Linked DNA regions of Caenorhabditis elegans. The protein of the gene in region 1 purifies or fractionates together with the protein of each later gene. This does not show direct contact. Each region holds a gene or a part of one and is shown in the gene's direction. Other genes may lie near its edges.

Region 1 (3,612 bases):
TGCTCTCCGATCGCCGAAAATATTTTGCTCATTTTTGCCTAAAACTCGCAACTCAACTTGCTCACAAATTTGTTGGATCATTATTCCGTTGCCGAACAATTAGTACTCATGGAGCTGAGCAACTGTTACTTGATACTCATTCGCTAAAAACATTTTTGCTCAGTGTACCATCAATTGATAGTATTATCAACTCAAAACCACCAACGGCATACGTTACCAGTGTGAATGCAGCTCTGACAAAAGCTGAAATGATTTTGAAAGTGAGACATTTTAGATTTTTTAAAGAGATCGAAAAATCAAAAAATCAAAAAACAAAATTCGGTTTTTAAACATGGGTTTTAATTTAAAAAAAAATTGTGAATTTTCCGGAAATTCGAAAGTCAAAATAAGTTTAGAAAGACCAAAATTTTAATTTGTTGTTTTCCATTTTTCCAAAAACGCGAAATTCAAAATAAATAATTTTTCAGGTAGTAATGTGCAGTTTGGAGACTGTCGATGAATTTGTTGAACAATATATTAAACTTCTACCAGCGTCGGATGCAGCAGAAATGCAAAAAGTTCTTGAAATGAAAGGAGTTAAACGACAAGAGCATTCGGCAGTTCTCAACGCTTATCGATTGAAAATCGGTGCATCTGGCTCGGATCCAATTCAACAATCGAATAGTCTAACTTCTCGGATTGGTGGAGCACTACCAACTGTTGGAAGTGCAGCATCTGTATCTGAAGCATTCAATGCAGTTGTATCAATGGCAGCAGATGGATTGTCTGATCAAGCAGTGACGTCATCAATTGATAAGCTTAAAAGATTCGAAAGACTAGTCAAACGACAATTGTGATTGTTGATCTACTACCAAAGAACGAAATTTATAATTTATTTACATAATTTTATTTGAAAGTTTCTCAGAATACTCATCGGAGTTTTGTATTTATTTATTTATTCATGTGAAATGTTTTAATAGTTGTGAATAAGATTTCTAATTCTTACTTTTTATACTTTTTGTTTTAATTTAATTTTTATGGGTTGTTCTCCGAAATTATTTGATTTTTTATTATGCAGTAACTCAAAGATACCGTATCCTCTCTCGCCACAAACGAAATATTTTGAAGCCGTGAAAAAAGGAATGCTCCTTTAAGTAGTACAGTAACCCACTCTCTGTTATCTCGCGCAGTTGTCTCTGCTTTCCCCTTTTTGTTGTAAAATTTTACCAATAAATAATTAGCATACCAAATTGGTCTGCTAATTATTCAGCATACCAAATTGGTCTAAATCTTCGGAATTTTATTTTTCATGTGTTTAGAAAATAAAAAACAATTATTTGGATCTAAAAAATTGCTATGTAAATTGCAATTATAGTACTCTTCAAATGCGCACATCTTTTTGTATTTCACACAAATTTGTCGTGTCGAGACCGGATATGGTTTCTTTTGGCAAAAATCTAAATTTTGCGTCTGTGTTATTTAATAACAATTATAATTGTTCCAAATTAGAGTCTTCTTGACGAAAAAACGTAAAAATTGGCACGTTTAGACACGTTGTATAACAACAAGAAAAACCTTTAAAAAGCAGTGTTTTCTTGTTTTTATTGTTGATTAGTTCATAGATCACAGTTCACACTGTGTGCTCTATCGTTCGTATATCTCTCACTGTCTGCGTCTATTTTCATATCTGTTTCGTTCACTTTTGCATCTTTTACAATTGTCTTCTTTTTCTTGAATACTTCCAATTTTCTTCTCATTTCTTAGTTATCAACATTTTCCAACTCAAGTTCTGAAATTTCAGAAATCAAGATGATGCGCTTCTCGTCGATGCTGGTTCGCAATGCCAAATTGTGTGCAAATGTCAACCAAATGCAAGTCGCCGCATTTTCAAGCAAAGCTCCTGAAATGATCAAGATCGAGAAAGTTGGAGAGAAGCAAAATGTTGCTCTTATCAAGCTGAATAGACCAAAAGCTTTGAATGCTTTGTGCGCTCAGCTTATGACTGAATTGGCTGATGCTCTCGAAGTTTTGGATACTGATAAGTCTGTCGGAGCAATTGTGATTACTGGAAGTGAGAGAGCTTTTGCCGCTGGAGCTGATATCAAGGAGATGGTTAGTCAGCGTATAATCCAATTTTTTAAAAATTATCGGATTTCAGACCAATAACGAGTTCGCCACCACATTTTCTGGAAGCTTCCTCTCCAACTGGACCGCTGTCAGTGATGTGAAAAAGCCAGTTATTGCTGCAGTGAACGGATTTGCATTGGGAGGTGGAAACGAGTTGGCAATGATGTGTGATATTATCTATGCCGGAGAGAAGGCTCGTTTTGGACAACCTGAAATTAACATTGGAACTATTCCAGGAGCAGGTAATTGACAATATTTTAAAATCAAATTTTTAAACGTCGATGATTCAGGAGGTACTCAGCGTTGGGCTCGCGCCGCCGGAAAATCATTTGCCATGGAGGTGTGCCTTACTGGAAACCACGTGACTGCTCAAGAAGCTAAGGAGCACGGTATTGTGAGCAAGATTTTCCCAGCTGATCAGGTTGTCGGGGAAGCTGTGAAACTTGGAGAGAAAATCGCTGATCAATCTCCACTGATTGTTCAAATGGCAAAGGAGGCCGTTAACAAAGCTTATGAGCTTACTCTTCAAGAGGGACTTCACTTCGAAAGACGACTTTTCCATGCCACTTTTGCCACCAAGGATAGAAAGGTAAATTATCAAAATGAATTTTTAAATTGCAATCTAGTTTTGTAGATAAATTATTTAAACTTATTTATTATTACGGTAGAAAAACTGCCAAATAAATACAGTGATCAAAATATTGTTCCAGTTTTTATTCCACCTTCTCTTAAAATGAAATAATCAGTTTCCTACCTAGTTTAGTATTTTTCTCGAAAACCTGATAAATTCCCCTTAAAAGATGTTTTTCAGGAAGGAATGACCGCTTTTGCCGAGAAGAGAAAGCCACAGTGGGAGTCGAAATAGATGCGCATCTACAGATAAGAGAAGAAGATGATTCAAAGTGCCTAGTTGAATTTCTTGTTTTATTATTTTTATTGTGTTTTGTATTTTTTCTGTATTTTACGGTTAGTTTCTTCTGCCATTGAAAATAAATATATATGTAAAGCTGCATCTTCACGATTTTCTGATTCCTTTTTTTTTGTAGTCAGTTTCGATTTTCCATATTTGTGATTTGTGATTGTTTATGTTTTTTTTTTGAAAAAAAAATCAATTAAACACTACAGAAACACTACACACTTGTATGCTGAATAATAGCATACCCACCTTGGGTCTGCTAAATATTAAATTTGTGATTTCTGATTGTTTATGTTGTTCGAAGAAAAAATCAATTAAACACTACAGAAACAGTGGACAGCGATGTGGCTTGACTGGTTCTTTCCCGTGAGTTTTGTAATATTTAATGGCCGGCAGGGAGCAACATCAAGCGGCAAAGTTTGAAAAATCTTCCCTATCACGATTTATTAAGTTCAGTTTCAGTTTCTACTGTACAAAAATGTTTTTATCTACTATACTAGTATATCATTACCTAACCACCAATTTTCGGCCGCCCTTTCTTAGTTTCTCTCAATCTCTTCTAATATTTTCTATATCTGATTACCTCTCTC
Region 2 (8,715 bases), on another chromosome or scaffold:
AAACCAACTTTAACGAGGAATTTGTTAACAAAATCGTGTAATAAAATACGGAGATGAAACAAAAGAGTTTTCGGAGCATAAAATACGGGACCGGCGATAAAATTGAGAACCTCACTCTTCGTCATCAAATCATCAAAACGTTTTGACAGATGCTCTTTGTTTTTGCTAACTCAGAACTTTCCGATTGAAATATGTGCACACAACGGCGCCGCGTCGACGACTAACAACAGATGTGGGGGAGTCTTCAATATTGCCACGATTATTGTTAAATATATTGAAAAAAAAACTGGATAAAAGAAGAGCACAAAAAAAGAAACGAAGAAGAAAATATTTCAAATATATTGAAAACTGTCTTTTCTTTCCTTTTCCTTCTATCTACCACCACCCCTCCCGACTTTTGTGATTGTGTGCCAGGGACGCGACGATTTGCATGAGAATGCACTGAGAAGTGAGCGATGTGTGAAAAAAATCGGCCGCCGCCCGGCGATCGAAGATGCTTCTCAAAATATTTTCGTTTTGGCGAGGAAGCTGGAAAAAATTTGTGCTTTTTCCCTGAAAAAAGTGAATTGGTTGAAAATGGAAGAAAAATTAGTAACAAATTGGGGAAATGGCGCAATCGCGCTCCACGGCCAATGAAAAACTGTCCGCCCCTATACGTTGGGTCTCGTTAGGTATTTGGCTGCAAAACTCTAAATTCACGTGAAGCCAGGCTGTCCCATTACAGTTTGATCTACAAAAAATGCGGGATTTTTTTGCCCAAAAAATGTGACGTCACGTTCTTAATCATGCGAAATCAGTTGAGAACACTGCGTCTCTCTCCCGCAATTTTTGTAGATCTACGTAGATCACGCCGAAATGAGACACTCTGACACCACGTGTAAATTGAGTTTTTCAATTAGTTTTACATGCTTTCAATCAAGACGAAAATTGTTTGAAAGCATGCAAAACTAATGGAAAACTCTGAATTTAGTGTCAGAGTGTCCCATTTGGGTTTGATCTACGTAGATCTACAAAAAAATGCGGGAGAAGAGACGCAGAGTTCTCAACTGATTTCGTATGGTGCTGACGTCACTTTTTTTGCGCAAAAAATTCCCGCATTTTTTGTAGATCAAAAACGTAATGGGACAGCCTGGCACCACGGTTTTACTGTCAAATTCCTAACGAGACCCATGACTCGGGCGGCGGGGCGTTTCAATTAGCCGTGGGGCGCGTTTTCACGTCGATTTCAAAAAAATTCTGCGTCCAATTAATATTTTAAAAAATGTTCTGTAAAACTTATTTTTCTTTTTTTTTTCTGAAGAAGTTTATTTTTTTGCAAATTTTGAAAAAAAAACCGCTGTTTAGAAAAAAAAACACTATGAAAAACGAAAATGCACTTTTTTCCGATTTCAAAAGTAGTTTCTCTGGATTAATTGGAATGGGTTTTTGCGCAGTACTTTCGTTTTTTTTTTTTCGGTTAAAAATATTTCATATTCTTCATAAGTTCAATTTCAGATGATCTGGACACGACCGATTTTTTTAAATAAAAAAAATTAGGGTGTGCCTTTTAAGGAGTACTGTAGTTTCCTTTTTTTCACCTTTTCCATATTAAGAACAACTTTTTTTTCAATTTCTGCAAAAATAATAAGTTCGAAACTGCAGTACTCCTTAAAGGCGCATACTCTCTTTATTATTGAATTTATTATCAAGAAAATGTGACGTCAGCACGTTCTTAACCATACGAAATCAGTTGAGAACTATGCGTCTCTTCTCCCGCATTTTTTGTAGATCACCGTATATTGCTAAGCGAATTTAACTACTCTGAATTTTTGCATATGTAGAAATTCGATTATGATGAATTGTTTTCCGACGAATCCAAAGTTCCAGTGTTCAAACTTCCACACAATACGACTTTATGAACACACCTGGTGTTCTTTTGCAGAGTTGCCGAACATATTTATTTTATGGAAAATTGTCACTGGAATTATTTGCAGGGGGGGGGGGGGGGGGGGAAATAATTTTATTGCATTGCTAAACATTGAAGATATAACCAATGGGAAATAATAATCATTTCAAATAACCCAATACAGGGGTGGTTGGCAAACTATTTTTTCCGGCAAATCGGCAAATTGCCGGAATCGAAGCTGCCGGCAATATACCGCAATGAAATTTCCGGCAAATCGGCAAACCGGCAAATCACCCAAATTGTCGTTTTGTACAGTTTTTTTTTTGGAAATTTCAGAATTTCAATTTTAATCGGCAAAATTGTACGCATTCTATGAATGTTCCTACATCTGTTTCGAAAAGTACACAAATTCTATGAAATTATCTGAAGACAACGGGGAAAAAAATTTCAAAAAGGCGCAAATTTAAGTGTTTCGGTTTCATAAATAATTCCCTCTAAACACTTCCCGCAAATTGGTGTTCGGCAAACGGCAAATCGGCAAATAGCCTGAATTGAAAATATCCGGCAAATCGACAAACCGGCAAGTTGCCGGAATTGAAAATATCAGGAAAACCGGCAGTTTGCCGATTTGCCGAGTTTGTCGACAAAATTTGCCAAAATTGCCAAATGGCAATTGCCGCCCACCTATTGCCGGTTCAGTATTTTAATGAAACACTTCAAAATTTTAACATTTTTCAACATTTTCAGTCAAATTTTTGGTGAAAAAAATTCGAGAATCGCTGGTTTAAACCCTCACCAATAATTAAAAAATATTTGAAACACCATTGAATCCGCTCGTTGAAATTTTTAAAAGTTGTTTTTTTTTAATTTTTGAAAAATTTTACTACGATTTTTTTTTTCAATTTTAGGAAATTCATGTAGTTGCTTGAATTTTTTCCTTCCTCTTTCTGAATTTTTTTTGTATTTTTTGAAAATTCGGAAATAAAGGCTGTCAAAAAATGTAATTTTACAATAAATTGTATTCTCGCTTTTACATATTGAATTGAATTGAATTTATTACGATTGAAATCATGATAATAAACGTAATAAACATACGATAATAAACATACAGAAAACTAATAAACATACAGAAAATGAATTATCATCTGAAAAGTTGATTAGTTGGTACATGAATGTGCGGGTGTCAGGGAGATGAATAATGGGTAAAAGTATTAAACATGCATAGGACATGAGGTGCCAAAATAAGATTCATTGCGCAAGATTCATTGCGAAATAAGATTCATGTCCGAAGTTGACTTTTTTGGAATTATCGTCCTTTATTACATATATTGGTAGTTTATCTCATTTACTTTCGTTGATATAAGGTATATTTAAAGCCGATAGGTAACCAATTTCGATAATTTTTGGTTCCATATCGGCTAATATAACATACATAACATACATAACATGTGATATAACATACATATCTGAAAAGTCCCCTATTTTTGACAAAAAAACAACACCCAAAAATACCAGAAATGTCAAAAACTGCAGCGACCGACATCTTGTGAGTTCGCTTTTCCTGATATACTTCAATTGACTGGTTTAAAAACTCAGCTATCGATGGGCAAATTTTCGGCAAGTTTTCGGCATCAGGCGACCAAATTGCAAATCTTCGCAGTTGGCCAAACGTATAATTTTGTTGAACTCATATTTTAGAGCTTTTTTCAGTTTACAGTGTAATTTTTGCATTTTTCTGAATGCGAATTTTTTTTTCTCAAATTTTCACGTCTTCACACAGTTGCAACTCAATGTCAATTGTTAGACGGTTATTTTTTGATTTTCTTTTGGCCAGAAAAAATTGTCCAAAAAGCTTGTTTTTTTATCAAATGTAAAAAAAAACTCATCTAATAGTAAAGCTAAAATTTTATTCCAGTAGGGTCCAGAGTACCCGATGGGCACACCGGCCACACTCCAACTACACAGCTGACCCGCGCTTCTCTCCTCTTTTTCGTTTGGGTACGCAGTTGACGTCATATCTTCTTTCTTTTTTTACATGCCAGCTTCATGTTGTGCTTTATATTTTGTCTTTTTGATTTTCCAGCAATCGTTGTATTTTTTACGTTTCTAGTACAAAAATGGAGAAGGTCAGATTTTTTTTTCTAAACACAAATTTGATTAAATTTGATAATATCTCGTGAATAAAAATGTTTCAAATTGGTGATTTATGATACAAATTCTTTCAAGAAAATCAATAATGATTATGTCAAAAGGAGCATTTTCCACGCTACCCGCCACCGAGCCGAAGTTGTATTCAAAGTTGGTGCAGTTCCAAACCAAAAGGAGAAGATTGGTAGATTTAAATGCAGTTTATGAGGTAGGTTGACACTGAAATACTGATTTCTCAATTTAAAAGTCAGTTTTTCAGGACTCATTATCATCTGGCTCCCCATTGGGTACTGTGATTGGATTCCATGGAACTCCAGGGTCTCACAGGGATTTCAAGTATGTCAGGCAGCGATTGGAGCACATGAATATTAGATTTATTGGTATTAACTACCCAGGATTCAAGCAAACTCCAGGTAGTTTCAGTTAATTAATAAAAAACCATCAAATAATTAAAAATAAATTTCAGCGTACCCAGGTCAACACTTCGGAAACTGGGAACGAAATAGTTACTCAGAAGCTCTGTTAAACGAGCTAGATGTGCCGGGAAAAGTGATCATAATGGGGCATAGCAGAGGATGTGAGAATGCACTGATAACAGCAGCTAATCGGAAACCTCATGGACTAGTGATGGCTAATCCAACAGGGTTGAGGATTAATAAAGGGTCTCGTCCGAAGGGAAAGTTGGAGTCGCTGATTTATTTACATAAGAAATTGCCGAAAAAGATTGGAGATGCCATTTTGTATAATTGTGAGTATAAGCAAAATGAGAAATATGCCATAGGCCACTACCAAAAAATGTTTCAATGTGGTGTTTTACTACTGTTGAGGCTCGTCAAAATGCTTGAAAGTTGGATTTTTTCATAAACTTTTTCATTTTGGGAGCGTTTTTGATTAAAAAAAAAGCAAAAATCTGAAAAGTTTTCTGGATGTTGCCTACCCCTAGAGCAATTTTACGAGCTTCAGAACAATTGGAAAAATGTCCTGTAAAAATAAAATTTGAGATCGGAAATTTTCTAGTTCAAAACGCAGCAAAATTATTGGTAGTGGCTTATTTAAAGTGTAGTTTTGGCAGTTTAGGAATACGTATTTTCGTTAGACCTAAGTTTTTAAAAGTGGTGTACCGAAATCTGAGACTTTACTTTTTTAGATCCAAAATGACCCAAAACTACCAAATTTCGTAATGAGATGTTCTGAAAATTTTTCAAATAAAAGTTATGTCGGCTCAATGTTTTAGAAAAAACCCGTTTTTGAGAAACTTTCAAAACATCTCATTATGAAAGTCGATGGTTTTGGGTCATTTTGGGTCTAAATAAGCAAAGTCTCAAATTTCGGTACTCCACCTTTAAAGGATGTTCGAAATTTTCAGGGATACTTCAGATCTTATAAATTATTTCAATTTCCAGTAATGAAATTGGTTGGATTCAAAATTCATGATGGTGAAGAAGCCGTGGCGGTTATTCGAGCAATTATGAACTGTGACCTGGAAAAGCAACTGGAATACATTCTGAAATTAAATGAACTGCCCACAAAGACTATGATCACTTTTGGCGGAAGTGATCATTTAATTGAAAAGGAAATTGTTTTTGAAGCACTCAAAAAGTATCAGGGACTCGCGCATTTTGTAAGTTTTGTGATAGAAAAACTTGAAAAATTGGAAGGAATTTCAGAATTTCAAAGCGAATATCACAGAATCCGAAAAGCAGAAAATAATGGAAAGTTTCAAAAATCAAAAAGGAACATCTGTATTTATTGCAAAGGATAATCATTTTCAAAATAAGAAGCGGGCGGATTTATTGGCAGATGCTGCTAGATCAATGTTATTAAATTAATGTTTTGAAATTTTCAAATTGTTTAACTTTACAAACAAAAGGGAAATCTGCAACATGAACAATATTTTCAACGACTATAATTTGAGAACTGTAATAGTAATTTTATTCAATAATAAACTTACAAAAAATATTTAGCTTTTGAAATACTGCCCCAGAAAAAGTCAGCAAAAATTACAAAAGACAACGAATTTTAGGTGAACCAAAGTTTTTAATCGGCAAAAAAAAGAGTTTTTCAATTGAAGGTTGATGAAATATTTATTCAAAGTTTTTTAGGGAAGATAATACTTATAAACGAGAGGATAAGAGGAGGAAACTGGAAAATTTGAGGTTGGTGATTCTCTAAAGAGAAGGATTTACAGCTCTGGTTACATCGATGAGCTCATCTAAATCAACTTGACCATTTCTGTCGATATCGGTGTAACGGAAAGTTTTGCGAATCCCTTCGGCAGACAGCCGTGCTTGAAAGTTGCTGAAGAGGGGTTCCAGTTCAGCAACAGAGATGAAGCCATTTCCGTCTTCGTCAAACTCTTGGAACACCTTTTTAAAATTCTCTTCACTCTGTGCCAAGCCTCTTAGCGACAACATAGCTCCTGTTAGCTCCTGTAAAGCATCTATACAAATTGTTTCGAACATTATTAAAAACTCACTCCAAGAGCCTCATTATCCTGAGAACTTCCAAAATTTGGAATCCAGGCGAGAATGATGAGTAGGAAGAAGATAGAATTGATGGCTTGAATGTAAACTCACTTACAGGTGCCCTTTTTAAATGGATATTTTGTTTAATAAAAACATGTTTTCCGTTGAATTTATAATGGATAATATATCCAATACTTTCAGCAAAGCACGATTTTTTCTATTGTAAAATTTGGCAAAAAAACATTTTTCGAATAATTTCAATAACTGACACAGAATGCTGTAAAAATCGATTTTTCCAGAACTCCAGCTATTTTTTGGTAGGACGCTATCAAGGTACAAGAAAAGGAATAGTACCCAAAAATGCATATTTGCCTTCAAGCCGACCTACGCCTATCTACTCGTTTTCCTGCTGCCAGATATCAGAAACCAATAAAATACAACTAATTTTCTGAAAATACAGTGAAAATAGGCTTTCCTACCTACCTATCATATACCGGCTTTATAGATGGTCATACCAACGGGATGCTTAGTTACGGGCCTAGCTTATTTCTACATCAGGGGTGTGCGACAAATTTGCCGATTTGCCGAATTCGCCGAGAATCTTCACCAAGAAAAATATTTCCAACGACTATAATTTGAGAACTGTGATAGTAATTTTATTCAATAAAAAACATACAAGAAATTATTAGATTTTGAAATACTGTCCCAGAAAACGCCAACAAAAATTTGAAAAAAAAAACAAATTTTGGGCCAACCAAAGTTTTCAATCTGAAAAAAGTGCCCTGCAGTTTAAGGTTTGTATTTGAAAATTTCTTAAAACATAGACAAGGGTCCAAAGTACAGGAGGGGGTGCATTGGCTACACACTGACTACACAGACACATCTGACCGGTTTCCTCCTGTGGGTACGCATTTGACGTCATTTCTTGTTCTCCTTTTTGCCAGTCTGTTGTGGTTTTTTTAAATTTTGATTTTTTGCTATTATTTTAACAATCGCTATATTTTCAATAAAAAATTGTAAAACAAAAAATTTGGAAAAAAAACTATTTAAAAAGACAACTAATCAAATTTTGATTTTTAAAAAAAATTAATTTTCACGTTTAAAAATTCACGCGACTTCAATTGTTTTAAATTCAAATTCCTAAAACTGTTTCATTTCGATGTATTGTTTGCAGAGTTAATTTCAAAAATTCAAGAATGATTGTGTCAAAACGAGCATTTTCCATCCTACCCGCCAGTGAGCCAAAGTTGTACTCAAAGCTGGTGCAGTTCCAAACCAAAAGGGGAAGATTGGTAGATTTAAATGCAGTTTATGAGGTACGGTAAGCCAAAGGTTTTTAATATTCAATAGTCAATTTTCTAGGATACTTCTGCATCAGGCTCACCACTGGGCACTGTAATCGGATTCCATGGAACTCCAGGATCTCACAAAGATTTCAAGTATGTTAGGCAGCGTTTGGAGCACATGAATATTAGATTCATTGGCATTAACTACCCAGGTTTCAAGCAAACTCCTGGTAATTTCAGTTTATTTTTTAAAAAAACCATCAAATAATTTTTAAAAAAATTTCAGCCTACCCCGGTCAACATTTCGGAAACTGGGAACGAAATAGCTACTCAGAAGCATTGTTAAACGAGCTAGATGTGCAGGGAAAAGTGATCATAATGGGGCATAGCAGAGGGTGTGAAAGTGCACTGATAACAGCTACTAATCGGAAACCTCATGGACTAGTAATGGTTAATCCGACTGGATTGAGAATTCATAAAGGGTCTCGTCCGAAGGGAAAGCTGGAATCTCTGGTATATTTCCATAAAAAATTGCCGAAAACGGTAGGAGATACCATTATGTATAATTGTAAGTTTTTTTATCTTCCTCGAAAAAATATAAATTTCCCAACGTATTTTCAAAAGTGGAGAAATGTTTCTAGAAGAAATTTGTCGGATTTTTCACGAAGTTTTGAAAATGTATGTGTAGAAAGCTTATTTTCAAAAATGCACTCAAATTTGAAAAGCACCAGCCAATCAGCAATGTTGGCCACGCCCCGCGCACCGCTGATTGGTTGACGGTCTCCGCAAACTGAAAATTGTAACTTTTTGAACCATAAATAGCTTTTCCAATTTCCAGTAATGAAATCGGTCGGATTTAAAATTCAAGACGGAGAGGAAGCCGTGGCGGTTATTCGAGCAATTATGAACTGTGACCTGGAAAAGCAACTGG
Region 3 (8,435 bases), on another chromosome or scaffold:
CTTGTGTGGGAATGGATTATCACCAGCAGCTCTACGGGCCTCAATCATCCTAACTCTCATGTTGAAATACTCTTGGGGGTCAGAAGGATCCGCCTCTCGCACAACTTTTGGAGCATCAGCGACGGCAACATTCAGCTTAGCAGCATCCTTCTCCAGACGTTCTTGTTCCTTCTTGGCTTGCTTGGCGAGCCTCTTCTGCTCACTGAAAGAAACATTATTGATCAATGGTGCTGGTTGTCACAAAATCTGAGGACACGTCGACTAACCGAGTGTTTTGGCTCAGAAAAACTGACGTCCCGAAAAATGAAGACGACCTACGTCGCAAGAATGAAACAGCCGATCGGCTCAACATCGAATGAGACACGATCATCATTTTTCTCACTTACTTCTTACTCAATTTGGCCTCTGGCTCGCTCATTGCCCTGTGACAGTGCTTGAAAGTGGCTGAAAAATAATAATCAATTAATTTAAGAAAAATTGCATGGAATTATGGAAATAAAGCAGAAAACGGAACAATTCAACTCATGTTTTTAGAAAATCCTAAAACTAAAGCGAAATATCTCAGTCTGAAGATTAGGGAAATTAAGACACACTTGACGCATTTTTATTGTTGTCTCAGATAAGTTTGTATCGGAATTATGGACAAAAAGCGAAAAATCTAAATGAAAATGAGCTGAAAACATCTCAAAATGCATTTTAAAATGCTCAATTCCTCCCAAATTTTGTAGCGTTCGGACATTGGCTTTAGAGCGCGTTTGTATTTAATGAGGAAACGGAAAACGGAGGAAAGAAATTTAGAGATTCGATGGTAGTTTTTGGAAGGCTATCTTTATTATTTAACTCAAAAAGTTATTCAAAGCTTTAAAATAATATTTTCAATATTTTAAGCAAAGTTTTTATTAACGCATTCAATGGATAAAACGCGCATGAATGAAGCAGCATTTCTACGGAATACATTTCTCCAGTGTCGGTAGTGTCTCCAATTTAGAACTTTCCAAAGTTCATTCAACCATAAGCTAGTAATTTAATTTTTGTTTTGTTTTATTTATAAAGCACAAAGCTTATCAGAGTTGCGTTTTCTTGTTTAATCTGATGGAAAGTGTTGCAATATTTGTTGTGAAATCATTTGTTTTAGTTAAAAAAATATCAGTAAGAAAACTGATTATTCGAAATGGAGCATTTTAAAATTGTTAGGCGAATATTGAATTGTTGATTAAAATATATATCAAACTTTTAAAAATCGCGTTTGATGTTCATAATTTTTAGGCTGTAAATCTAATTTATGATTATCTCCCCTATTGTAGCACTTTAGGTGTTAGAAAATGGCAGTTCAGAGACAGTTCAACGTTTTTGCATCGAAATGTTGTGTAATGATAGTTTATATTGTCATCATCATTTGATCTTAGATATATGAACATTGCTCTCACTCTCTTTCTTTACTGTCTCCAGTGTGATGTCACAGAAGAACAGTTGACTTTCAATTGCACGTGGGAACTCTTGAAAAGCAAGTGCAACTCCTGTATGAAAGAATCAAGGAGCTCCTAGGAGTATCGAAACCGCCAAAGTTCACAGCTACACGTAACTAATCTCAATTCTTTTATGAGAACGACAAAACCTTATTAGCACTACTTTTGACTAGAAAATCTATATCTCTCTTTCCTTCTTTTTTTTTACAGAAAGTGCAATTTCGCTCCACCGCCGTACTAGCTTTTCTATTTAACCATCATAATCTTTCCTTTCTTCTGTTCTGTCTCTCATTCATCTCGATCCGAACGAATTTCTTCATTCTCTTATCTTATTTTCAAAAACAAGTTGTGTCGAGTCAATTCTTTTTTTTTTCAGAATGTTGTCATCGTCTGGACACGCAATTCGCCGCGGAATCACCACATCTGCTGCACTATCAAACAAACATGCTTTCATCGTCGGAGCCGCCCGTACACCTATTGGATCATTTCGTTCTTCTCTCTCTTCGGTAACTGCTCCAGAGCTCGCCTCGGTTGCCATCAAAGCAGCATTGGAGCGTGGAGCAGTGAAGCCGAGTTCAATTCAGGAGGCGAGTGTGTTCTTTGTTTGCATTTTTCTATACTAGTAATATCTGAAATTCTATATCACTTCCAAAAACTACCGATTTAATCTTAAAATGCCTCAATTTCAGGTGTTCCTTGGTCAAGTCTGTCAAGCAAATGCTGGTCAAGCTCCCGCTCGTCAAGCAGCTCTTGGAGCCGGACTCGATCTTTCGGTTGCTGTTACCACCGTCAATAAAGTGTGCTCTTCTGGGCTGAAAGCAATCATTCTTGCTGCCCAGCAAATTCAAACCGGTCATCAAGATTTTGCCATTGGCGGAGGAATGGAGAGCATGTCACAAGTACCATTTTATGTTCAAAGAGGAGAGATCCCATATGGTGGATTTCAAGTGATTGTGAGTTTAATTTATTTTTCTAAAAAATATTAAATTGTCTAAAAATAGTCTTTAAACTTCTTTAAAAGAAATCAATGCTCACATTTTCTTATTCAGGATGGAATCGTCAAAGACGGACTGACCGATGCTTATGATAAAGTTCACATGGGAAACTGCGGAGAGAAGACTTCAAAAGAAATGGGAATTACACGTAAAGACCAAGACGAATATGCTATCAACAGCTACAAAAAGTCAGCTAAAGCATGGGAGGTTTGTCAACTGATTGCTCTTTGTGCGTTTTATGATTCCATGTTGTTTAGAATGGAAATATCGGACCAGAAGTGGTGCCAGTGAACGTCAAATCAAAGAAGGGAGTCACGATTGTTGATAAAGATGAAGAGTTCACAAAAGTCAATTTCGACAAGTTCACCTCGCTGAGAACTGTTTTCCAGAAAGGTTTGTACTATTCTTATCGTGAAAATTGAAATCAACATAATATATTAAGACGGAACTATCACTGCTGCTAATGCTTCAACATTGAACGACGGTGCAGCTGCTGTCATTGTTGCCTCACAGGAAGCAGTTTCCGAGCAAAGCTTAAAGCCTCTGGCCCGAATTTTGGCTTATGGAGATGCCGCCACGCACCCACTCGATTTCGCTGTAGCACCAACTTTGATGTTCCCAAAAATTCTTGAAAGAGCAGGAGTGAAGCAATCAGATGTTGCTCAATGGGAAGTTAATGAAGCCTTCTCATGTGTTCCCCTTGCTTTCATCAAAAAACTAGGAGTCGATCCATCCCTTGTGAACCCACATGGAGGAGCTGTTTCAATTGGTCACCCCATCGGGTATGTTGCCATATCAGTTGACCGTTCTTTCCGCATTCTTATCGTAAATTTGTTATCGATTATTTTTCTTTCAGAATGTCCGGAGCCCGCCTCATCACTCATCTTGTGCACACACTCAAAAGTGGCCAAATCGGAGTTGCTGCCATTTGCAATGGAGGTGGTGGCTCAAGTGGAATGGTTATCCAGAAATTATAGATTTATAATTTAACTTTTTTCGTTTAAAGTTTGTTACCTTTTTTCACGATTAGCTTGTATTTATGTATTTTTCGCTCATATCGAAACTCCGGTAAATAGATTCATTTATTATTTTGATTATCTACTTCTCTTTCATTGGTTTCAAACCAATTTCAGTTATCTTTTTTTATTCGTATGCGATTTTTCTAATAATCCAAAGTTCAGACAGTCTATCGCAATGTCGGATAAAAAAGTTTTCATTCTGAGTGGAGCTCGCACTCCCATCGGAGCTTACCGAGGATCTTTCGCTAACTTTGGCGCAGTTGAGCTCGGAACGGTCGCTGCAAAGGCAGCAATTGAACGATCAGGTTAAATTACTGATAATGAAATTTTGAAACAAATATTAAATATTTTTAGGAGTTGCTCCGGAGAAAATCGAAGAAGTAATTGGTGGATGCGTACTTCCGGCCGGTCTAGGACAAAATGTGACCCGACAGATCTCTTTGTCGGCTGGTCTTCCAGTAACAACGCAAGCTGTTACGGTGAACAAGGTTTGCTCTTCTTCGATGAAAGCCTTGGTGACAGCAGCTGTGGAAATCAAAGCAGGATATTATGACACTATTCTTGTTGTTGGAACTGAAAATATGAGTCAAGTTCCATTTTACGTGCCGAGAGGAGAAATTCCATTTGGAGGAATCCAGATGACAGATGGAATCTCGAAGGATGGACTTGAAGATATTAAAGAGAAAGGTCCAATGGGATTATGTGCTGAGAAGACTGTAAAAGATTATGGAATTACTAGAGAAGAACAAGATGCATATGCTATTGAAAGTTATAAAAAAGCTTCAAATGCATGGAGTTCTGAAAAGTTTTCGGAAGAAGTGGTACCAGTTAGTGTTAAGACTTCGAGATCGGAAGTAGTGATCACTGAAGATGAGGAGTATAAGAAACTGATCGAGTCAAAGGTATGCAGAAAGAAAATGTTTATCAAAAATATTAAACTTATTTAGGTTTCCTCTTTGAAACCAGTCTTCGTTCGTGACGGCACTGGAACCATCACACCGGCCAATGCATCTTCGCTTAATGATGGAGCTGTCGCAACTGTCGTTGTCGGAGAGAATGCTCTTCCACAAGGAGCTCATCCACTTGCTGAACTCGTGGCATTTGCTGAAGCTGGAAGAGCTCCCATTGATTTCACCGTGGCACCAGTGGACGCCGTTCGTCTTCTTCTCAAAAAAAGCGGGCTCCAAGTTTCAGACATTGCATTGTGGGAGCTCAACGAAGCATTTGCCGTCACTGTTCTTGCTTTCATCAAAGAACTTAATATTGAGCCAAGTGTTGTTAATGTAAAAGGAGGTGCAGTAGCGATTGGGCATCCACTTGGGTAAGTTTTTTTGTTGATTCAAACTTCAGTGAGCGTTTTCGGAAAAATTAGAATGTGTACAGAGAAAATTCTGATAGCAAAAAAACATTCTAAAACACAAAAACAAAACATACAAATTTTAAAGTAAACTTTAAGTCCGAACAAACCTATATTAATTTTAATAATTTTCAGAATGTCTGGTCTCCGAATCGTCAACTCCCTTGCATATTCTTTAGCTCCAGGACAGCTCGGTGTAGCTGCAATTTGCAACGGAGGAGGAGAAGCCACAGCAGTGCTCATCAAAAAACTGTAATATGAACCTCTTGCCTAAATGTTTTCTGGTCTTCTATTCATCATTCCTTGATTCACTTTTACAACAAATTTCGATTACGTATTTATAAATAGTTAAGGTTCTTGTCACATAAATGTTTATTCTCAAATGGTGCATACGTGTTATTGATTGGGAAATGAATTAAGGTTAATATGTACATTATCAGGAATGGTTTTGAGCCATCTCAAAAGAGATATACTGGAAAAATCGGAAAAGCATTTTTCTTTTGAGATATATCATTCATTCACGTCTTCAAGGCAAAACATATAAGGGGAGATCGTATACAAATAATCACAGGGAAGAATTGGTGGATGATAAAATGATCCCATAAACCATTATTAGTTTGAGAGATCAAGTTGGGGGAATGAGAATATTAAGGGGGGAAGAATTTAACCGGGAAGCAAACATAGAGCGATTTAATTTTTCCGGGATTTGCTTTGCTAGGCGGTTCCAGGTGGCGAGGTTGGCTCTGAGGAATCCTTTGTTTGTTTCGCCAACAGATCTGAGCATGTAGGGGTATCTTGGAGTTACAGCTTTCTTCACCGACGATGACACATTTGGGTAGTGGAAGTTTCCAGTTATGATGTTGTGGTAGGTGCGAAGGATCTGCAAGACCCGCCTATATTGCACTGACTTCAAATTGGCTTGGGCCAAACGATCCTCGTATGAAGAATACTTTATGTTGCAGCGTTGGAAGACGAGCCTGGTGAAGAAATGAGATGAATCAATAAAGGCTATGAACGGGTAACTCAATAAAGTATCTTCCTGGACTGGGATGATTCCGAGAAAACAATCACAAACGATACGGTAATGAATAGGAATCCATTGATTTCATTTTATCTGTAATTTCAGTGTCTGACAAGAGATCGTCGTTTCGGAATTATTACAGGCCCAAATATGGCTGGAAAGTCAACATATCTGAAACAAGCTGCCCAACTAGCAATCATGGCATAGGTAGGATGCTTCATTCCAGCAAACTATGCTTCGTTGCCAAGTAACCTAAAAGTTTTGATTTGCTATTTTCTATCGTCGAATTAATTTCAGTTTTTAATCGTATCTTCTCCAGAATGGGTCATAACGACGAGTTGATCAGAAATAAGTCTGCATTTGCATCTGAAATGTCAGATGCAGCTGCAATCGTACAGTATGCCGATAAAAACTCACTTGTAGTTCTTGATGAGCTAGCACGAAGCACATCGACTGAAGAAGGAATCGCCATCACCTATGCGATTTGTGAGAAGGTTCTAAAGTTACATGTGCTTGTAAAAACAAAAAAACGAATTGTAAATTTTTATTTTCAGAGCTATACCTTCCTGGCTACACATTTTCTCGATATTGCAGCTCTCGCCAACTATTCAAATGCAATTGACAAGTGATTCTACAACTCTACAACTATTTCTTTCGAAACTTCTTTCTTTCAGTTACCACTTTCTTCCACAAATTGATGACAATTCGACGAAAAAGCACAAGTTGTTACGTGGATAATATAGAGACCATTATACGGTATGAATAATTCATTATTAGCAGAAAAAGTAAATGATAGACCGTAGAAAAGTGTGAGATGGGAAATTTGGAATCAATAAAGGCTATGAACGGGTAACTCAATAAACTATCTGTTTGTGAAAGCTTGTAGAAAATAAACGAGTTGGACCCGATATAAAAAAGTATTGAGAAATTGGATCTTCTAGAAAGAATCTTCGGATGATGCGTAGATCTTCTGAATTAATGAGGAATGCTTGTAAAATTGATAACGACTGCGCTGGAATCGGCGGTTTTCGAAATCTCGGCTGAAATCCTCATTGAAGGACAACTGGCTCGACGGCTTCATTGGGCAGTACCTGAAATGCTCACGTTAGAAATATATTGAATATACAGTGTGGGAAAGTTCTATAGGACCCCCCCTAATTTGAAGGTTTGAGGAACTTCCGAAAATTTTTTCGAAAAACTGCTAATGCCGTTCGTTTTTAAATTGAAAAAAACCTATATAAATTTTTTTCCAGAAGTTTATCTCAAAAACTGAGGTCGCGCTGGAAAAAACGTCAAAATCCAGTGTGAAACTTCTATAGGACCCCCCGTTTTTTTTCACGATTTTTACTAAAATCAACAGATTTTGGAATTTTTGACAAAGCTCAAATCAAGTTTGAGTTAGAAATGAGTTCATATAAGCAGTTTTGACTTTAAAAAATTAATACGAAATGTTCTCGTGGGATCTCCAGACTGGTTCTGATTCTTCCGATCTTTGATGTTCAAGTCTGTTTCAAGCTTCCTGGTGCTCTCGGTAATGCCAAAACTTGATAAACTCTCTTTAACAAGTTCCTACTAAAATTCCTAGCACGCACTTTAGATGTTTCGACTGTGTAGTCAAGCTGATTTGGCAAAATATGCAGCAGGAAACAATGGAAGGCTTATCAGGAATCAAATCGTTTTTCTTTGATTACAAGGTTCCATGGGACCAATATTTCAAGTTAAATTGTCCCTCACAGATGTTATTTACTATTTTTTGCGTGAATTATTAAATGTGGAATTGTGGCATGTGTTGTGGCACACATATAGAGGCTGGAAAGCTTACTTCGAAAGCAGTCTAACTTGCAATGCCTCGAGGATCTGCCCTTTCGGACACTGAACGCGCTCAGCTGGATGTTATGAAATTGCTCAATGTGTCCCTGCATGAAATGAGTAGGAAAATTTCCCGTTCTCGACACTGTATTCGCGAGTATCTGAAGGATCCGGTGAGCTACGGTACATCTAAAAGAGCTCCTCGTCGCAAAGCTCTCTCCGTGCGTGACGAACGAAATGTGATTCGTGCTGCCTCCAACTCCTGTAAGACGGCAAGAGATATTCGCAATGAGCTTCAATTGTCTGCTTCAAAAAGGACCATCCTCAATGTCATCAAACGATCTGGTGTAATCGTTCGTCAGAAACTTCGCCCTGCTCCGTTACTCTCTGCAGACCATAAACTCAAGCGATTGGAATTTGCTAAGAACAATATGGGAACGAATTGGAGTAAAGTGAGAATTTAAAAAAGCAAGAGTGAATAATTAGGATCATTGTTTTAGGTTGTCTTCTCCGATGAAAAGAAATTCAATCTCGATGGGCCTGACGGTTGCCGCTACTATTGGCGCGATTTGCGCAAGGAACCAATGGTTTTTTCGAGACGTAATTTTGGAGGAGGAACGGTGATGGTTTGGGGAGCGTTCACGGAGAAGAAGAAGCTTGAGATACAGTTCGTCAGTAGCAAGATGAACAGCACTGACTATCAGAACGTCTTGGAACTGGAGCTCTCCAAATATCTTCGTCACTACTCCAGAAAAGACTTTAGATTTC
Region 4 (8,306 bases), on another chromosome or scaffold:
CAATTGTCACGAATTTCTATCAACACAACACTCTTTATCACCGAATTCATGAACAATTATCCGAAGATTTCGATCAATCGTGGACATTTCAAATTTCGTTGCAAATTTGTCAGGCAATGTCTTATCTGCATAAAAAGAAGATACTTCATCGAGATTTACGAACGAAAAATATTCTTTTGGACAATCCGAATCGAGTCGTTGTTACGGATTTTGCGTTGATGAAGCTTGAGCGGCTGGAGAATCCCCGCAGAAATTGTACACTTTTAATCCCAAATCACTGGATTGACTATCTTTCGCCGGAAATTGCTGGAAATTTGATGATTGATTGGAGGGGTGATGTGTTGTTTCAACATGAACTACCGTTTTCACAAGAATCTGATGTTTATTCGTTTGGGTACGGGGGGATTTTATCGAATTTTTAATTTTTTTTGATTGAAAACCGCTTCCGAAATGCGAAAAATTGCGATTTTTGGCCAGAGGTCTCGCCACGATCGAAACTTCCCCAGCTACAGTCCCTCCGAGAACTTCGAAATTTCTTGGTTTTTTGGGGCGTTTTTCGTAATTTATGAATAAAAATGAGTAAATGTCAAGAAAAAGACAGAATTCAATTTTTGTCGACGTTTTTACTAAAAAGTACGGTATTCAGGGTCTCGCCACGACCGAAACTTTCCAGCTACCGTTCCCACGGGACTTTCGCAGTTTTCCGGATATTTGGCGTATTTTTCAAAATATCGGGAAAACTGCGAAATTCTCGGGGGTACGGTAGCTGGGAATTTTCGATCGTGGCAAGACCCCGGTATTTTGTCGTAAAAATTTCGAAAAAATTGAATTCTGCCATTTTCTTGACATTTACTCATTTTTATTCATAAATTACGAAAAACACACCAAGAAAACCAGGAAATTTCGTATTTTATCGGATTTTTAAGTGAAAACCGCTTTCGAATTGCGAAAAAAAATGCGATTTTTGGCCAGAAAATCCGGTAGCCTTGGGTCTCGCCACAAGAATTCGTTTTTAGAGCTCTTCTCCACGAGGAGTACACGAGCGAGCTGCGTAAATCGACAGCTCTTCCATTTTCAAATTTAATGGAGTTTGGGAGACCGATTTGCAAAATTTCACAAATTTTTACGAAAAACTACGGTAGCTCGGGGTCTCGCCACGATCGAAACTTCCCCAGCTACAGTACCCCCGAGAATTTCGTAATTTTCTTGATATTTGGCGTGTTGTTCGTAATTTATGGACAAAAATAAGTCAATGTCAAGAAAAAGACAGAATTCCATTTTTTTTTCAAAATTTTTACTAAAAAAGACGGTATTCAGGGTCTCGCCATGAACGAAACTTCCCAGCTACCGTACCTACGAGAATTTCGTAATTTTCCTGATATTTGGCGTATTTTTCAAAATATCGGGAAAACTGCGAAATTCTCGGGGGTACGGTAGCTGGGAATTTTCGATCGTGGCGAGACCCGGGCTACCGTTTTTTTTTCGTAAAAATTTGTGAAATTTTGCTAATCGGTGCTCTTCTTTTTAGCGAAAATTAAAAAATGGAAGAGCTGGAGCCTCTCTGTCGATTTACGCAGCTCTCTCGTGTACTCCTCGTGGAGAAGAGCCGAAGATTCTACAGTTTTTAGGTGAAATTCTCGGTTTTGCACCAATTTCGCTAGTTTTCTTCTGTGATTAACATCAAAATCGTCCATTTTTTGCTTATTTCTATGTATTTTGATGAAAATGCGAAAAAAAACACTCAAATTTGGAGTTTTTGACCAGTAAATTCATAAATTATGGATACTGGTCAAAAACTCTAAAATTGAGACTATTTTTGTATTTTTCACCAAAAAATGAACGATTTTGTGTGTTCAATACAAAAAAACCAGTGAAAATGGTCCAAAACTGAGAGTTTTAGCTAAAAATTGGAGAATCTTTACCTCTTCTCCACGAGGAGTACACGAGAGAGCTGCGTAAATCGACACATTGAGAAAAATTTGGAAAAAATCATTAAAAATGAAGATTTTTTCACAAAACTAGTGAAAAAAATCTCAATTTTTGAATATTTTGAGTTAAAAATCGACAATTTTTGAAAAAGCGAAAAAAATTTTTTTTTTAATATTTAAACTTTGAAATTAACACTGAAAAATGCTGCGTAAATCGACATATTGGGAAAAATTTAATAAAAATTAATTTTTTTTCAAAACTAGTCAAAAAACTATCATTTTTTATATTTAAAGTTTTAAAAATCAATAATTTGAAAATTTTCCCAATTTTCAGTACAATTTTCTTCGAACTCCTGCTCCGCCGTATGCCAACGGGCTGTGACTCTTGGGATCAGAAGCTCTACGCGAAAATGTGCGGCCAAAAAGCGGCACTTCAACGGCTCGACGCCCAGCTGCAAAAAATCGACGGAAAATTGCACGAACTGCTGCTGGAATGCTGGTCGAGCCAACCGGAGAAGCGGCCGAGTTTCCAACAAATTGTGAAGCGAATTACAGTTCAAATGCCGAGAAAAGAGTCGAATAAGCAGAAGAGACGCAGCACGGCACACGAGAATCCACTGTTTTAGTGTGTAGAATTATCGATTTTTTATGTACAGAGAGAGAGAGAGAGAAGAGAAAAGAAGAAGAAATTAGACATTTTATCCATTTAAATACCTATATATATATACAAATATTTATCCTATATTCATCCCTGCCCCTGCCATTGATCTTGTTTCATAATCATATCATAGTTTTATCAGAAAAAGAAAAAAAATCCCATTTTTCCATCATTTTTATCCGCGTTTTCCTATTTTCCTCCAAATTTCCCAAATTAATCCCGCCAAAAAAATTTTTTAATTTAAGTTTAATTTCCCGCCGTTTCCCTTCCTGTGCCATCCTTTTTCCCCCCTGAAAAGAAGCAAAAAACGAGTTTTATATACCACAACCGGATTCCTACTATATTAATTCCAATTTTATCCAATGATTTATTTATATTAAATTATATTTTCTTTTTTTCTACCATTTCTGTGCTGCCTTGAAATTTTTTTGTTCCCGCCTTCCTCCCCTGATATATAGTTATATATAGTTTTTCGACAAATTTTCAATTTTCAAATGAAAATATCGACTTTTTAGTTGGAATTTTTTGGGGATTATCCAGGAGTTTTTTACATATTTCATGTAATTTTATTCGCTGAAAATTGATTGAATTTCAGGATTTTCGCGCGAATTTTGGCTGAAATTGGGCATTTTTACGATTTTTCTCTCAAAAACTTGAAAAATTTAATATTTCCCTTTGAAATTTGCAAAATTAGGTTAAATTAAACCTAATTTTGTAAATTTTCGTTAAAAACCGTTAAACAAACCATTTTATTCAGTTTTACAATGAAAAACTAGCCGCGACGCGACACGCGCCGCTCCGTAAATCTACCCCGGCCGTAGCCGAGTCCAAATGGCCTAATTACCGACTTTTGCATAAAAATTGAGTTTTCAACACGATTTTTTCTCTAAAATTTACAACTTTGGAGAAAAATCGTGAAAAAAGCATTTTGGGCAGGTGTGCGCCTTTAAATTACTGTAACTTCGAACTTTGGTTGCTGTGGAATTTTAACCGATTTTTCATAGTTTTTGATTGAAAAAATTCCTACAGTAATCTTTAAAGGCGCACACCTGCTCGCAGTTCAAAAAAGGCGTGGCGAGACCTGGTACCGTAGTTTTGGCGCGAAAATCACAAAATTTGGCGTCTGGGCCTTAGAATAAGCAAGCGCGGCGCGGTTTTTTTTTGAATTTTTCTCTGTAAAATTTTTTTAAAAATCGCAAAATTCAGGATAAAAACGTCTTGGTAATTTTTTTTTCAGATTCCCCAGGAAGACCCTAAAAATGAAATCTCTTCGAGCAACTAACATCACAACGGCCAAAGCCGTCATCATTAAACCTCCCCACCACGTAATTCTCGGCAAGAAGCATCGCCGACGTGTTGGTGGCAATCTTCGGGATACCGCCATTTTCTGCGACTTTCTGACGTCATTTTGCTACGTGGCAATGGAAAGATGCTCGCCGAGCACGGCGGATTGGCCGAAAATGAAGTTTGGACAGGATTATGAGCATTCGAAATGCCCGGATGCACGATTTCAGCGACACGTTGAAGAAAATTGTCAGCTCGCGGAGCAATATATTGCGGCAGGACGATTATTGGCTTTTGAAGGTTTTTGGGCCTAAAATCTAGATTTTTAATTGATTTTATTGTATTTTTTGCTGTAGAAATGCTTTAAAACCCAGAAATAAAACTTGCGCGTCAAATACAATGCACTGCGTACACTTGCGGTGTTTGCACTGAGTGCATTTTAATTGACGCGCAAATCTTTTTTTCTGCATTTTTTTCGAAATTCTTGAATTTTTTAGCTAATTTCAGATGATTTTTGATTAAAAATAACTTGAAATTCTTCCAGTATGCATGGTAACACCGTCGGAAACTCAACTCGTCGGATTTCGTGTCACTATCAGCCGATTGAGGCGCCCTGATGGGTAAATCTTACAGAATTTGATGATTTTTCACTAAAATTTTATAATTTTCAGCCGTAGAAGTCCAAATATCTACGCCAGGCTCTCAGCGATTCTGGAGAAGGTTCGAACGATGGAAATTACGGAAAAATTGGATACAATGATGAGCTCCTGCAGTGAGTTGGCCAAAAAAAAAATCTTCTGAAAATGGGCCAAAATCGACGAAAAAAAAAACCATAAAATATGACTTCTCCAGTCAAAATCGGCAAAAAATGCACCAAAATCGACCAAAATTTACGTAATATTCGCTGAAAATGGTTTTTTAATCCAATTTCCACATATTTCTGAAAATTTTTGTCGATTTAGCTTATTTTCCACCGATTTAAACGGAAAATTCTCAAAAAACGACGAAAATTTGCGAAAAAATGGGAAAAATTCATTAAAAATTGTAAAAAAAATTATTTTTTTATTCAACTTCGCCAGTTTTTTGCAAAAAATTCTATCGATTTTGGCCTATTTTCCAGCGATTTGGGCTAAAAATTCCCAAAAAACGGGAAAAAAATTCAAATTTTCCAGAATATCGCCCTCGAATCCGCCTTCTCGCCCGTCTTCGCCCCCAATCCAAACGGAAAGCCGACAAATCCAAAGTGGCCGATAAATCTCAAACTTTTTCTCTTCCAATTTCAAATTCCATTCGATTAATGTACACTGGAATCTCATTTTATGCTTTTATGTAATTCTGAATTTTTGAAAAAAAACACAATATTTTTTTAGATCACAACGTATTTATTACTTCTTCTTCTTTTCAAGAAAAATAGTCCAGACAAGCCTAATGAGAGCCTGAAAGCCTGGAAATTTTGTCTTGATAGTGATCTATTCGATTTCAGTGAAAAAAATCGCAATCCGTACAGATGGTAGAGGTGGAAATGCGCAAAAAACGCCAAAATCTCAGTGGAAAGTTGGCAAATTTTCGGGAAATCGCAAATTTCGCGAGAGAAATTTGATACTTTTCCCAAAAAATAGCCAAGAAACAGGAAAAAAGATGGAAAAAAAAGTGGGAAGGAATGCGAAAACCTGGGAGATCGAGGTTCGACTCGCGCGAAAATTTAAAAATTAAGGCTTCTGAGAGATTTAAATGAATGGGTGGGTGGGTGAGGGGGAAAATTTAAAATTTTCAAAAAAAACCAATAGACTAGAGAACAAATTTAGCCGGGATTACTGTAGCAGCTAAACTGTGTGGATTATATATATTAAAAGATTATAAGATATTGATAGATATATAGGATTACTGTAGACTGTAGGCTTGGTTACTGTAGGATAGTGTGACCAGACTCGGGGGGATATGAACATTAAAATATGACGTGGCGAGACAGAGAGAGACAGAGAGAGATAGAGTGAGAGAGAGAGAGAGTGGGGGTGCTAACACAGAAATAACGAGACATAGAGAAAAAGAAGAAAAGATGGTACAAAAACAGAGTGAAAATAACCTAAAAAGGTCGATTTTCAGTATGGGGAAAAATGAAAAAAAATGAAAAAAGAAAAATCGATAATAGAGATTTAGAGGCCGCCCATTTTTCTTGGCGAGTTTTCCCAGAAAATATTGAAAAACTAATCGAGAAAAAGTGGCGTGTGACCCGGCCAAAATCAATTTTTGAAGTTGGGTACACACTTGATAATTATTGATTTTTGAGACTGTGAAAATCTCCAAATTTCCGTGGAAAAACAGTTTTTAGGCGAAAAATTTGGTAATTTTCAGTGAAAATCGACTGAAAATGGACAAAAATGTACGAATAATTAGCAAATTTGGCTAAAACTCAAGAAAATCGTAAAAATTCAGTGTAAAAAAAGATTTTGCCCGTCAATTAGAATGCACTCGGTGCAAACACCGCGAGTGTACGCAGTGCATTGTATTTGACGCGCAAGTTTTTTTTCATCGGTTTTTTCACGTTTTGTGCACAAAATCGACAAAAAACTTGGGAAAAAGCCAAAATATCAGAAAAAATCGATAAAATTTAATTTTCAATCAATATTTTGCAAATTTTCAGTCAAAATCGGCTAAAAATGCACTAAAATCGACCGAAAATTGCAAAATAGTGGCAGAAAATCAATTTTTTCCTGTTTTCTGCATTTTTGCAGATTTTCCCACGTTTTTTGCACGAAATCGGCAAAAAAAAAACTCGGAAAAATGTGTTTCGCAATTTTTTGTCGATTTTTACGGAAAATGCACCAAAATTTGCAAAAAAATTGAAAAAACCGTGCAAAATTTGAGAATTTTGGCTATTTTTTCACTAAATAATTCAAAATTTTCGCCGAAAGAAAACCCGTTTTTCCGGGAAATTTGGAGCCATTTTGAGCATTTTTGTGGGGGGCAAAAACCAATAATTAACAAAACATATAAGTGAAAATGGACAAAAAATGGAAGAAAAAGGTGAGGAAAAATCCAATATGTACAGGAAAATCATCACGTTTTGGTGGGGGGGAAAACTAAAGGAAAAAAACGCGAAAAAAAAGATGGGCGGTCTAAAATATCGAATTTCTAAGATTTTTCGGGTCAAAAAATGAAAACGGGACGGGGGAATACCTGTATTTGTACTATCGAATTCCGGGAAAGAAATTTCGAAAAAAAAACCGAAATATCTACAATGGTTCAGAATTTCTAGTAGCACACGGGGATTTCGCGGGGAATTTTTTCGATTTTTTTTTCTCTATTTTAACGAAAAAATCCCCCGCAGCAAGACAAACAAAATATATTGCAAATTAACAAAAAAAAAAGTGAAAATTTTCAAAAAAAGAAGCCAAAACTGTGATAAATTGTTGAGAGAGACGAATATGGATAAGTTTTGCAGGGGAAAATTAGATTATCTCAGTTTTTTAGGGGTTTTTTAGGCTTTTTAAGCCAAAATTTCAGTTCGAAAACCCAAAAAACCCCCCAAAAAATACACTAAAATAATCCAAAAATAAGGGGGAAATCCAGAATCCAGAAGCTTTAAGCCGAGGCGATTGCTGCGATGAGCTGTAGTGGACAGACACGAACTCCGAGCACATCAGTCTTTGGCTTCATCTCTTTTTGAGCAGCACGTCGTGGTGTCATTGTGATCATTGGAGCATCCGATGATGAGAGAGAAGATGTTGACGATGAAGCTGATGACGTCATTGAGATGGATGATGATGGACGGGATGAGTTTTCGAGCTGTCCGGGCACTTGGAGCTGAAAAATTGAGAAATTTTGAGGGATTTTTAGGCTGGAAAATGCAAGAAAATGCACTGGAAAGTGGAAAATTCGGAATTTTCAAAGAACTTTATGCTAGAAATTGTGATTTTGAGCTTAAAATGATTTTTTTTTTGGTAAAAATCGTCTTGGAGCTGAAAATTTGGAATTTTGAGGTTTTTTGAGCTTGAAAATGTCGATTTCAAGGTGAAAATGCTTTTTTTCACTGAAAATTGAAAAAAAAGGGCGAATTTGAATAAAAAATCAGAATTTGAACGGATTTTTATGCTAAAAAAGATAGATTTCGAGCTGAAAACGCCATTTTTTCAGTAAAAATCGACTTGGAGCTGAAAATTTGGAATTTTAAGGTTTTTTGAGCTGGAAAAACCTTTTTTAGCCGAAAAACGAAAAAATTCGAATTTTAAGATTTTTATGCTAGAATAGGTTGATTTGAAAATGCTTTTTTTCAGTAAAAATTGGAATAAAAATGGAGGATTTCAGTGGGAAATCCTTTTTTTAATAGACTTCTATGCTAAAAAAGATAGATTTTCAGCTGAAAACGCCTTTTTCTCAGTAAAAATCGACTTGTAACTGGAAAATTCGGAATTTTTAAGGTTTTATTCGCCAAAAAA

What was found.
Region 2: the proteins of ech-6 (region 1) and K08D9.4 fractionate together in Caenorhabditis elegans (co-fractionation; one large-scale study listed by BioGRID). This does not show direct contact.
Region 3: the proteins of ech-6 (region 1) and kat-1 fractionate together in Caenorhabditis elegans (co-fractionation; one large-scale study listed by BioGRID). This does not show direct contact.
Region 4: the proteins of ech-6 (region 1) and F58D5.9 fractionate together in Caenorhabditis elegans (co-fractionation; one large-scale study listed by BioGRID). This does not show direct contact.

What each region holds. Positions count from the first base shown.
Region 1 is NC_003281.10:9,751,052-9,754,663, reverse strand, and holds ech-6 (putative enoyl-CoA hydratase, mitochondrial), read left to right. Parts: upstream 1-1,780; 5' UTR 1,781-1,788; coding exon 1,789-2,091; intron 2,092-2,137; coding exon 2,138-2,348; intron 2,349-2,396; coding exon 2,397-2,695; intron 2,696-2,917; coding exon 2,918-2,971; 3' UTR 2,972-3,112; downstream 3,113-3,612. Other genes in the region: vps-53 (Vacuolar protein sorting-associated protein 53 homolog), read left to right, coding at 1-260, 468-836.
Region 2 is NC_003283.11:3,195,820-3,204,534, reverse strand, and holds K08D9.4 (AB hydrolase-1 domain-containing protein), read left to right. Parts: upstream 1-4,111; 5' UTR 4,112-4,121; coding exon 4,122-4,241; intron 4,242-4,292; coding exon 4,293-4,446; intron 4,447-4,499; coding exon 4,500-4,781; intron 4,782-4,874; exon of another isoform or gene 4,875-4,895; intron 4,896-5,436; coding exon 5,437-5,654; intron 5,655-5,700; coding exon 5,701-5,862; 3' UTR 5,863-5,991; downstream 5,992-8,715. Other genes in the region: Y73C8B.5 (EF-hand domain-containing protein), read right to left, coding at 6,202-6,462, 6,510-6,592, 6,982-6,988; Y73C8B.1 (AB hydrolase-1 domain-containing protein), read left to right, coding at 7,695-7,814, 7,861-8,014, 8,071-8,352, 8,623-8,715.
Region 3 is NC_003280.10:7,071,972-7,080,406, forward strand, and holds kat-1 (Acetyl-CoA acetyltransferase homolog, mitochondrial), read left to right. Parts: upstream 1-1,842; 5' UTR 1,843-1,843; coding exon 1,844-2,053; intron 2,054-2,155; coding exon 2,156-2,419; intron 2,420-2,515; coding exon 2,516-2,668; intron 2,669-2,718; coding exon 2,719-2,854; intron 2,855-2,903; coding exon 2,904-3,243; intron 3,244-3,317; coding exon 3,318-3,438; 3' UTR 3,439-3,540; downstream 3,541-8,435. Other genes in the region: kars-1 (Lysine--tRNA ligase), read right to left, coding at 1-202, 267-370; T02G5.7 (Acetyl-CoA C-acetyltransferase), read left to right, coding at 3,656-3,785, 3,835-4,382, 4,428-4,801, 4,973-5,093.
Region 4 is NC_003279.8:12,042,133-12,050,438, reverse strand, and holds F58D5.9 (Cystatin domain-containing protein), read left to right. Parts: upstream 1-3,820; 5' UTR 3,821-3,845; coding exon 3,846-4,170; intron 4,171-4,414; coding exon 4,415-4,490; intron 4,491-4,541; coding exon 4,542-4,642; intron 4,643-5,042; coding exon 5,043-5,203; 3' UTR 5,204-5,238; downstream 5,239-8,306. Other genes in the region: ksr-2 (Kinase suppressor of Ras B), read left to right, coding at 1-394, 2,263-2,554; F58D5.5 (uncharacterized protein), read right to left, coding at 7,453-7,674.